Linked DNA regions of Xenopus tropicalis. The protein of the gene in region 3 interacts with the protein of the main gene of each other region in a pairwise test. Links are inferred from orthologs where the notes say so. Each region holds a gene or a part of one and is shown on either strand. Other genes may lie near its edges.

Region 1 (3,751 bases), on a different chromosome or scaffold from region 3:
CAGATTTGCCCCATATATATATATACAGGATACAGATACACATTTCCCCCATATATATATATACAGGATACAGATTTGCCCCATATATATATATACAGGATACAGATTTGCCCCATATATATATATACAGGATACAGATACACATTTCCCCCATATATATATATATACAGGATACAGATTTGCCCCATATCTATATATACAGGATACAGATTTCCCCCATATATATATATACAGGATACAGATTTCCCCCATATATATATATACAGGATACAGATTTCCCCCATATATATATATACAGGATACAGATTTGCCCCATATATATATATACAGGATACAGATACACATTTCCCCCATATATATATATATACAGGATACAGATTTGCCCCATATATATATAGACAGTATATAGACATCCGCATTCATTGGCAGGCCGGGGGCGGCAGATCAATGATCAACCAATGGGGAGGGTTCGCTGATATAACATTTACAGCCGGGGGCCACAGAGAAGGTGAATGGACTTCGGCGCATTCAAACAAAACCAAAAGTTACCGGCCGGGGATGGTCTCTCCCTCGGTTCTACCCCGTCCCGGGGTAACTTGCCCTGGGTACAGCAGTGATTGGTTCTGACACCCCCAGGGAAGAAATTGCCCCCCTATAAATGCCACAAACAGTAACCCCTGGTGCAAAAACATATTCATTAAACACAGGCCCAAAATGTCAGCTCCTCTGCCCAGTCTAACGGGAATCAGTATCCGTCCCCTTCTCACTATCCGACCTTTCAACTGCCCCCCCCAGGGGGCTCCAACACACTGACTAAAGCAAATAAAAGCCCCCGAGGCCCAGAGCAACTGATTGAATCAAGCGGCAGAAGCCTGGAAGTCGCCCCCCCCCCGAGTGTATCGACCCCCCCAGGGAGCTGTGAGACCCCCTAACCTGTTGCACTGAGTAGGGGGGCAATTCCTGGGGGGGGTACAATGTATCTGTAAAGTTTCAGGGCTGTTCCATGTAATGGGGGGGGGGGGTTATAATTAACAATTAATTCATTTACATGTTTGCATATCATTATGTCACTTTCTATAGAAATTCTGTAAATCAAATGGTTCCATAAATGTCTGTTTGTAGAGCGGCGGGGGGCGCGGGGGGCACGGGGGGCACGGGGGGTACGGGGGGCAGTAACTCCCGGCGATGCTCTTATTTCAGGGGAAAAGAAGTGAAATTCAGTAAAAGTGTCGGCGCTTCCCCTGGGCACGGGGGGGGGGGCATGTGATGGGTAAGGGATCCTGCTTGCCCCCCCCCCCCGTGCCCCGGGGCAAACAGCGAGACGCGGGGAGTATTTACATTGAGCTCGGGAAATTCAAACACAAATTTACATTTCCACTGGGAGAAAAACAAAGTTGTGCCAACCCTGGCGCTGCCCCTCGGGCACAGGGAATAGGGGCAGAGATATGCCCGCTGGCCTGGCAGTCAGGGAGCCGGCACTTGGGTCTGGGCACAGTCTGACAGCAGGATCACAAGGCAACCTTCTCTCGGTTCCCAGGATAAACAACCCCATAAATAGGGGCACAAAGTGCCCAGAGTCTGCCGGCTTTGCCCCGACTGAGTGCCAGGTATCTAGGGCATACGGCTAAAGTGAAAGAGATATCAGTGGCCCCCTGGGTGCAGGGAGTCTGAGAGAGAGAGAGCGAGGGAACGGCGAGAGGGGTGAGTAGTAGCGAGAGGGGATAGGGAGACGGGTAAGTAGCCTTGAGTGAGTAGCAGTGCCAGGCAGGGAGTGAGTAGCAGTGCCAGGCAGGGAGTGAGTAGTAGTGCCAGGCAGGGAGTGAGTAGTAGTGCCAGGCAGGGAGTGAGTAGTAGTGCAGGGAGTGAGTAGTAGTGCCAGGCAGGGAGTGAGTAGTAGTGCAGGGAGTGAGTAGTAGTGCCAGGCAGGGAGTGAGTAGTAGTGCAGGGAGTGAGTAGCAGTGCCAGGCAGGGAGTGAGTAGTAGTGCCAGGCAGGGAGTGAGTAGCAGTGCCAGGCAGGGAGTGAGTAGTAGTGCCAGGCAGGGAGTGAGTAGTAGTGCAGGGAGTGAGTAGTAGTGCAGGGAGTGAGTAGCAGTGCAGGGAGTGAGTAGCAGAGGGGCTGGGGGTAACTAGGGGGTTGCTGCAGGGTTCTGAGGAGGAGGGTGCAGGGAGTGAGTAGCAGGGAGTGAGTAGCAGAAGGGCTGGGGGTTACTAGGGGGTAACTAGGGGGTAACTAGGGGGTAGCTGCAGGGCTCTGACTGGGGGGCAGGGTGCAGGGAGTGAGTAGCAGAGGGGCTGGGGGTAACTAGGGGGTAACTAGGGGGTAGCTGCAGGGCTCTGACTGGGGGGCAGGGTGCAGGGAGTGAGTAGCAGAGGGGCTGGGGGTAACTAGGGGGTAACTAGGGGGTAGCTGCAGGGCTCTGACTGGGGGGCAGGGAGTAGGGGAAATAGTTTGGGAGACCTGGCCATTTGCCCCGCTCCCTGTTTACTGATGTTGCCGACTTGCCCCCCAGTTACCCCGGCCCGGAGGGGTATGTGGGCATGGGGGTGGCACGGAGAGGGCACCCAGTTGCCGGGAAAGTTGGCTGCAGGGAGTCGGGCAGAGACCCCGGAGTAACAGGGAAAGTAGGAGCCGGGGGGGGGGGTAGGAGCTGAAAGTTTCCAGCGAGGGACCCGGGCACCTCCCCAGCGGGCACCCAGCCGGGCACATCCCGCAGCCCTTTCCCCGCACAGCTGCCCCGGGCACTTACCTCTCAAACTCCGGGGGTAGGTCGGGGTCCGTGAGCATCGCTGGGGTCCGGGTCCCTGTGTGGGGGCTGCTCTGCTCCCGACTCCCAGCAACTGACTGCTCTCCGGCTTCTCCTCTGTCTCCTCTGTCTCTGTGTCTGTCTCTCCCGGAGCCGCACTCTCTCACACACTCACACACACAGCGACTCCTTGGCCACATCCTTAAAGGGCCAGTACAGCCCCATCTCCCCCACCCCCTGCCCCCTCCCTCCGGCTCCCTCCCTCCCTCCCTCCGGCACCATCAGCCGCTTCCTGCCGCACTCACTGACTCAGCTGCCCGCAGCCTGCCAGCTACAGCCACCGGGGCACCGGGACACCGGGAATAGCCCCACACACACCGGGACCCACCCCGGGCACCGCCAGCACCGGGACACCGGGACCCACAGCCCTGGGAAACGGGAGAGGAGCCTGATCAGCAGGGAGAGGAGTCTGGGCAACCGGGAGAGGAGTCTGGGCAACCGGGAGAGGAGTCTGGGCAACCGGGAGAGGAGTCTGGGCAACCGGGAGAGGAGTCTGGGCAACCGGGAGAGGAGTCTGATCAGCAGGGAGAGGAGTCTGGGCAACCGGGAGAGGAGTCTGGGCAACCGGGAGAGGAGTCTGATCAGCAGGGAGAGGAGTCTGGGCAACCGGGAGAGGAGTCTGGGCAACCGGGAGAGGAGCCTGATCAGCAGGGAGGGGAGTCTGGGCAACCGGGAGAGGAGTCTGGGCAACCGGGAGAGGAGCCTGATCAGCAGGGAGAGGAGTCTGGGCAACCGGGAGAGGAGTCTGGGCAACCGGGAGAGGAGCCTGGGCACCGGGAGAGGAGCCTGGGCAACCGGGAGAGGAGCCTGGGCAACCGGGAGAGGAGCCTGGGCAACCGGGAGAGGAGCCTGGGCAACCGGGAGAGGAGCCTGATCAGCAGGGAGAGGAGTCTGGGCAACCGGGAGAGGAGTCTGGGCAACCGGGAGAGGAGCCTGGGCAACCGGG
Region 2 (3,751 bases), on a different chromosome or scaffold from region 3:
AAATAGAGACATCAACCCAGCAGGCCCATTTATTTGAAGTGTGATAGCCATACACCAACCACACTCTGAGCTCAGCCCAACGCTGCCAGTAACAAAGGGGTTTTATGCATTTTCAATGGGGAGGGGGATAACCGTAATATGGGTATGCGTTTGCTTTAGAAACATTACTATACTTTGTATAAATATTCTGAACATAGAAAATTCAGAGCTGAAGCACTGTCAGTCACAGTATTTATTGCACTGAACATACATTTACAATGCCACTTAGAATAAACATCCACATCACGTGGTCTGCATGCCAAGATATCTAAGCCTCTAAAACTTTACCTTTTGAGAACTGCTGAGTAAATCAGTTTTTTTCTGACATGTGGCTTACAAACTTCCTTCTTCGCTGATAAAAGCTCAGATGTTTTACAGAGATTCCAGACAGACATTTATAAAAGCAGATTTTCCAGCTTTCCTGCATTACTACTCTAGTGCAATTATAAAGTGGTAACTACACATAGAAGTATTAAATAAGGAACACATACAAATAGATAGATAAAAGGGCCCTCTCCAGTTGCACTATTTAGTAAACAGCAGAATATAAATTAACTCTAAGGCAGTAATCCCCAACCAGTGGCTCACATGTTGGCAACATGTTGCTCACCAACCCCTTGGATGTTGCTCTCAGTGCCCCCAAACCAGGTAGTTATTTTTGAATTCCTGACTTGGTGACAAGTTTAGGTTAAATATAAACAAGATTTACTACAAAATAAAGTCCCCTGTAAGCTGATAGTGTACATAGAGGCTGCCTAATAGCCAATCTTAGCCCTTATTTGGCGCCTCAATTTACTTTTATGATGCTTGTGTTGCTCTCCAAGTCTTTTTACATTTGACTGTGGCTCTCGAGTAGAAAGGTTGGGGACCCCTGCTCTAAGGGGTGCAAACCCAGATGCGACTGACAATTCAAGAAATGCTGCCAGTGATGTAATGAACAGGTCAATATGGTGCAAAGCAGTGCCTCCTATTTCTGAACTTAGGCAGCTAAACTTTGCCAGGGACAAACAGCAATTGGTGGAAGAGACCCATAGCTCACCAGAATATCCTTGGTTGTGGCGGTACTCAGAGCCCCACTATTTATATAAAGCAAGACTATCACAAATGAAGTCTTTTAGCAGTTGCTGAGCTAAAACCATGGTCCTGTAGTTAAAAAAAAATGAGTTAAGCTCAGAGTGAGACATTCCTGCTGACTGTTGCTTTCCCCCCTAACTATTCTAGCGGCTATGCCTATCATCCCTACTGCTTACAAAGGCAAGCTTAATGATAGTTCCAGTATAAAACTTCTATACATGTTCCTTGCATACAGATGCCTGTGAGGCTCCTCATGCAGCGCCCCCTGCTGGCACAGTCCCTAAGGACAGCTCTGCAATCACATAGAAGCTCCAAACTCGCAGCTCCTGCTTAACAATACTGCAAAACCGATCATCTTGACAGTGGCAATAGTGGTGTCATTTAATAAAAGAACAGAACGCTGGAATAAAACTGGGTGACATTACACGTACAAAATGCGCATAACATGTTCAGTGACAAGAACTTTGAATGAATAATAAAGCAAGCGTGGCATGTTTCTAGGGTTATTAAGCATGTGTATAGCCTAGGCCTTAAACTGATTCCAAACCAAACATGCCCGCCAATGAGCAGCTCCCCACTGTAAGTGCCACCCGCGGAGGACATATTAGTGCATGAATGTAATTATTTCTGCAAGCCTGCAGCTTACTTTCTAATCTATGATTTGCTGTCGCTGTGTGTGCCGGGAGATGTAGTATAGCAGCAAGTAAAGGATGCAGACTGCACAAATATAAGAATAAAACCCCCGTTGGCCAGCCTGAGCCTCGTGTAAAGCGCTGCGAGCACAATCCCAGGCCGATGTGCGAGGGAACAAAATACTTCAGACCTCATTAATAACATGTCAACGAGCAACAACACAATTTATTAGTAATAAGCAAAATATGTCCTTTAGTCAGAGAAATGCTTGGCGGGTTACATTTCCCGCCTCTCGGAACCGCGGCCTTCTGAAGCGCCTGTGCATAGCCAGGCATCAGCCCTTCCCGCCTTTACAGTTCCCTTCGCTTCTAGAACCCCCAGAACCCGGGAAGCCCCTGGCACAGCCCCGGATCCCCGGAAACCCGCCGGCTTTAACGCAATAAACAGGAAATCGTTCGGATGATCTGGGTTCCGGGGGAAGTTGAATTATTTTTTACCACAGAAGAGATCAACTTCCACATCCGGTAGGGCCCGACACCCAAGACTGACCTGGAAAAGATTCGGTAACCTGACAGAAACGTCTCCCAGCGCTGCCTAAGCTTACCGTGCCCGTCGTATTGGTACCGTCTCGGCTGCCCTGCTCTCCTCTGCTGGGGAGCTTTCCTTTCAAACCAAGCCGGTTTTACTTCAATCGCCTTCTCATCGGCGCCGAAAATCCCCGCACAAAAGTCCCCGCGTTTAGCGCGGAGGTGCACTATATTTTGTGTGCGCGCATTGCCTTGATTTCATGTTAGGGAAGGTGGCGCGACTGACTATGCCGTTGTGTTTAATTGTAAATAAGTTATTTTAATGCCTAAATGTTACTCTGATTGAACTGTATTCTCAGTTTATTAAACATATTTGTTTATAATCATTTTGCTGGTTACAGGAAGGAAAGTAGGTTCTGGCGGAGGGATACACAAGACGAGGCGAGGACGCAGCGAAGTAGCGCATGCGTGGAATGGAATCGAACTAGTGGCGTTTTGTGGAACTGTGGGTTGTCTCCGGAATAAGCTGCCGGTTCCGTTATTAGCATTCTGTGTGCCAAGTGGCACGGTTGTTTGTGGCTTTCCGACTTTTTTGTTTTGCTCGTTTAACTGAATGCGTTTACACAAACACCAGATGCTACGTTTCAATTGTTTTTTTTTTTGTTTTATTGCTCAGCATGTATTAACTAGGCAGCAATTCTCACTTGTATACATCTCCCCCAGTGCTGTACGGTAGAAAGATGTGTGGCTCAAACTTGAACGATATAAATAGAGCCTGTGCAATAAGTAAAGACGGTTCATGCGATACCTATTCACTATCTTTTGGCACATCATTTAATGCTGCTCCATCGCAAAAAAAAAATTTAAGGGCACTTAAAGGGGAAGGAAAGGCAAAGTCACTTGGGGGTGCCAAAATGTTAGGCACCCCCAAGTGACTTTAACCGCTTACCTTGTACCCCGGGCTGGTGCCCCTGTTAGGAGAAAATAGCACCAGCCCGGGGTAGCTGCCGGCGCTTCCTCCTTCCGGCTTCGCTGCGCGCGCATGCGCAGTAGAGTGAAAAGCCGAACTTAAACATTTAAGTCGGCTTTTTCGCTCTACTGTGCATGCCCGGCCACCGGCAGTTTAGGAAGTGGAAGGCGGAAGGAGGAAGTGCTGCACTCCAGGTACCCCGGGCTGGTGCTATTTTCTCCTAACAGGGGCACCAGCCCGGGGTAAAAGGTAGGCGGTTAAAGTCACTTGGGGGTGCCTAACATTTTGGCACCCCCAAGTGACTTTACCTTTCTTTTTCCTTTAAGAAATGCATGTTGCAGGGCTGCACGTTAATGCTCTTTTTGCTGAATTTTCTTGATTTTTTTTTCACATGATCATTACCTTAGCTTACAGGTTCTGCAGCACTTTACAGAGAATGAGAGCTTGTAATGCTATTACATAAAGTTTAGTTAAGAGTCCATGGTACTTTGGGTGCTCAGTAACTGAC
Region 3 (3,651 bases):
TCTGGGTACTGGGAATGCCGGGGGGGCTGTAAGGTGCCACAGACAGTCACTATTTATTGGGCTGGGGGGGGGCTGTTTGTGCCTCTGGGTACTGGGAATGCCAGGGGGGCTGTAAGGTGCCACAGACAGTCACTATTTATTGGGCTGGGGGGGCTGTTTGTGCCTCTGGGTACTGGGAATGCCAGGGTGGCTGTAAGGTGCCACAGACAGTCACTATTTATTGGGCTGGGGGGGCTGTTTGTGCCTCTGGGTACTGGGAATGCCAGGGGGGCTGTAAGGTGCCACAGACAGTCACTATTTATTGGGCTGGGGGGGGGCTGTTTGTGCCTCTGGGTACTGGGAATGCCAGGGGGGCTGTAAGGTGCCACAGACAGTCACTATTTATTGGGCTGGGGGGGGGGGGCTGTTTGTGCCTCTGGGTACTGGGAATGCCGGGGGGGCTGTAAGGTGCCACAGACAGTCACTATTTATTGGGCTGGGGGGGGGGGCTGTAAGATATTACAATTATAAAGGTAAAAACCTGCAAATGAGGCAGAAAATAGCAGCGATGTTGCTGTATAAAGAGAAATAATAAATGGAAGATGAACCCATTAGTGGGGGCCGTCTCTATACTGAGCCTCTGCCTGATAAATGGGCTCCGTCTGATTCTCTTCTACCTCTGGGGGCAGCAATATGGCGGCCAACCCCCCCCCCCCCCCCCCACGGGATCATTTCTTAAGGACACAAGTAATATTGCTAAATTCCCACTCCCCTCCCAGCCCCCCGTAATTCTATTATCTGGCACCAAATGGATCGCTGAGCAGATTTAGACGGGAAAAAAAAAAACAATTTTATAAATGTTTTTACATTCTGGGCCCCGAGCAGCTTCTCTCCTCGTAGTTATTGTTTCTGTCTCAAATCATTGTGGGAGAAATGAATCTGAGTCTCCAAAATGTGAGCGGATAAGGGACGGGATTGTCATATTAAAGAGCTTTTATTTGTGTCTGAAAGTCTGTTATACAGATAGCTGGAATGTCAGCCATAAAGCAGGGCAGGACTGCTGCTTACAATGGGGGGATCAGATAGGATCTGTGCCACTGTGACAGAATGCTCTGTTATACAGATAGCTAGAATCTCAGCCATAAAGCAGGGCAGGACTGCTGCTTACAATGGGGGGGGGGGATCAGATAGGATCTGTGCCACTGTGACAGAATGCTCTGTTATACAGATAGCTAGAATCTCAGCCATAAAGCAGGGCAGGACTGCTGCTTACAATGGGGGGATCAGATAGGATCTGTGCCACTGTGACAGAATGCTCTGTTATACAGATAGCTAGAATCTCAGCCATAAAGCAGGGCAGGACTGCTGCTTACAATGGGGGGATCAGATAGGATCTGTGCCACTGTGACAGAATGCTCTGTTATACAGATAGCTAGAATCTCAGCCATAAAGCAGGGCAGGACTGCTGCTTACAATGGGGGGGACAGATAGGATCTGTGCCACTGTGACAGAATGCTCTGTTATACAGATAGCTAGAATCTCAGCCATAAAGCAGGGCAGGACTGCTGCTTACAATGGGGGGGATCAGATAGGATCTGTGCCACTGTGACAGAATGCTCTGTTATACAGATAGCTAGAATCTCAGCCATAAAGCAGGGCACGACTGCTGCTTACAATGGGGGGATCAGATAGGATCTGTGCCACTGTGACAGAATGCTCTGTTATACAGATAGCTAGAATCTCAGCCATAAAGCAGGGCAGGACTGCTGCTTACAATGGGGGGGGATCAGATAGGATCTGTGCCACTGTGACAGAATGCTCTGTTATACAGATAGCTAGAATCTCAGCCATAAAGCAGGGCAGGACTGCTGCTTACAATGGGGGGGATAGGATCTGTGCCACTGTGACAGAATGCTCTGTTATACAGATAGCTAGAATCTCAGCCATAAAGCAGGGCAGGACTGCTGCTTACAATGGGGGGATCAGATAGGATCTGTGCCACTGTGACAGAATGCTCTGTTATACAGATAGCTAGAATCTCAGCCATAAAGCAGGGCAGGACTGCTGCTTACAATGGGGGGATCAGATAGGATCTGTGCCACTGTGACAGAATGCTCTGTTATACAGATAGCTAGAATCTCAGCCATAAAGCAGGGCAGGACTGCTGCTTACAATGGGGGGATCAGATAGGATCTGTGCCACTGTGACAGAATGCTCTGTTATACAGATAGCTAGAATCTCAGCCATAAAGCAGGGCAGGACTGCTGCTTACAATGGGGGGATCAGATAGGATCTGTGCCACTGTGACAGAATGCTCTGTTATACAGATAGCTAGAATCTCAGCCATAAAGCAGGGCAGGACTGCTGCTCATACCTCAGATAATCCCTGCGGCACAGGATGAGATTTGCTTTCGTATAGAGAGTAGATCCGACCTCCCCGAGGCGGCAGTCGCAGCAGGCGCATTTCAGACAGTCCTCGTGCCAGTATTTATCCAGCGCTTTGAGCAGGTAACGGTCCTTAATCTTGCGGTTGCACCCGGCGCAGCCTTTCTGTTTGCCCTTGGGCTGCACTGAGAGCATCGGGACCCCTGGGGGGGGGGGGGGGGGGGGGGGGAGAGAAGAACAAACAGAAAAATAAGTCCAATATTGTGTCACATACTGGGAAAAAAACAAAATATATATACAGTATTATTATCTGTTATAGAAATATGAAATAGTGAATAAGGGATATTTATCAGGGTGGGGGCCAAACACAGACTGAGGGGTGGGGGGGTGGGGGGGTTTTAAACAGAGTTTTGGCCAAAGGGGCAAATTAGGGGTACGGCTAAGCATGTACGGGGCTTCTTTCGATTGGGGCCCCATTGTGATTGGCCAGTGCCCTGATGACTAATGGGGATCATGGGGGAAAAGGACCTTGTAGTATCGGGCCCTATGATTAGTGATGGGGCCACAGCGATGCCATTGGGGGGTACAGGGGGCACCGCTGTCAGGGACCCAAGAGAAGTTTGGGGGCATTATGGGTGAGGTTGTTCCTACATGGGGGCCCCATTCTATGGTAGGAAGTTTCCTTGACCTATGGGTTAATAACTGGGGGCCCCTGGGGGGCGGAACCTGCTAACTTAACAGTATGGGGCCCCTTGACTCCTGATTGGCCAGAAATGATGGTCTAGTTGACCCAAGCCCTGGTCAGATATCTATTGAGAATGTGAGTAAATCCCATCAGGTGGGGGCCACGGCAGGCAGTTAATGTGTTCCCCACCCAATGGGGCCGCACAGGTTTCTATTCCAATCCATATGGGGCCTGAACCCTGCAGCTTTCAAATGGGGGTCACTGACCCCGGCAGCCAAACCCTATTGCTCTGTGAGGCTCCAGTTTTATTGTTACTTTTTATAACTTGTTTTTTCTATTCAGCCCCTCCCCTATTCATATACCTGTATCTCACCCAAACCACTCCCTGGTTGCTAAGGTAACTTGGACCCTAGCAACCAAATAGTTTCTAAGCTCCTGAACGGAAAATGAAATAACTAAAAAACTACAAGAAATAAAAAAATGAAGACCAATTGCAAACTGTCTCAGAGTATCACTCTCTAGGTCATACTAAATGTAAACTCAAAGGTGAACAACCCCCTTCAAAAGTACAATTGGTTCATCGTTTACATTGGGGGGGGGGG

The links.
Region 1: the proteins of lmo1 (region 3) and sox5 interact in binary tests that used the Homo sapiens proteins (3 or more experiments, as listed by UniProt). The two-hybrid records come from large-scale screens. The link is inferred for Xenopus tropicalis from reciprocal best matches to the Homo sapiens genes LMO1 and SOX5.
Region 2: the proteins of lmo1 (region 3) and gabpb1 interact in binary tests that used the Homo sapiens proteins (3 or more experiments, as listed by UniProt). The two-hybrid records come from large-scale screens. The link is inferred for Xenopus tropicalis from reciprocal best matches to the Homo sapiens genes LMO1 and GABPB1.

What each region holds. Positions count from the first base shown.
Region 1 is NC_030679.2:1,650,749-1,654,499, forward strand, and holds the start of sox5 (transcription factor Sox-5), read right to left. Parts: upstream 2,869-3,751; 5' UTR 2,787-2,868; coding exon 2,749-2,786; intron 1-2,748.
Region 2 is NC_030679.2:104,958,122-104,961,872, reverse strand, and holds the start of gabpb1 (GA-binding protein subunit beta-1), read right to left. Parts: upstream 2,482-3,751; 5' UTR 2,351-2,481; intron 2,310-2,350; exon of another isoform or gene 1,250-2,309; intron 650-1,249; exon of another isoform or gene 328-649; intron 1-327.
Region 3 is NC_030680.2:3,645,847-3,649,497, forward strand, and holds part of lmo1 (uncharacterized protein LOC100144284), read right to left. Parts: intron 2,568-3,651; coding exon 2,354-2,567; intron 1-2,353. UniProt on the Homo sapiens protein: May be involved in gene regulation within neural lineage cells potentially by direct DNA binding or by binding to other transcription factors.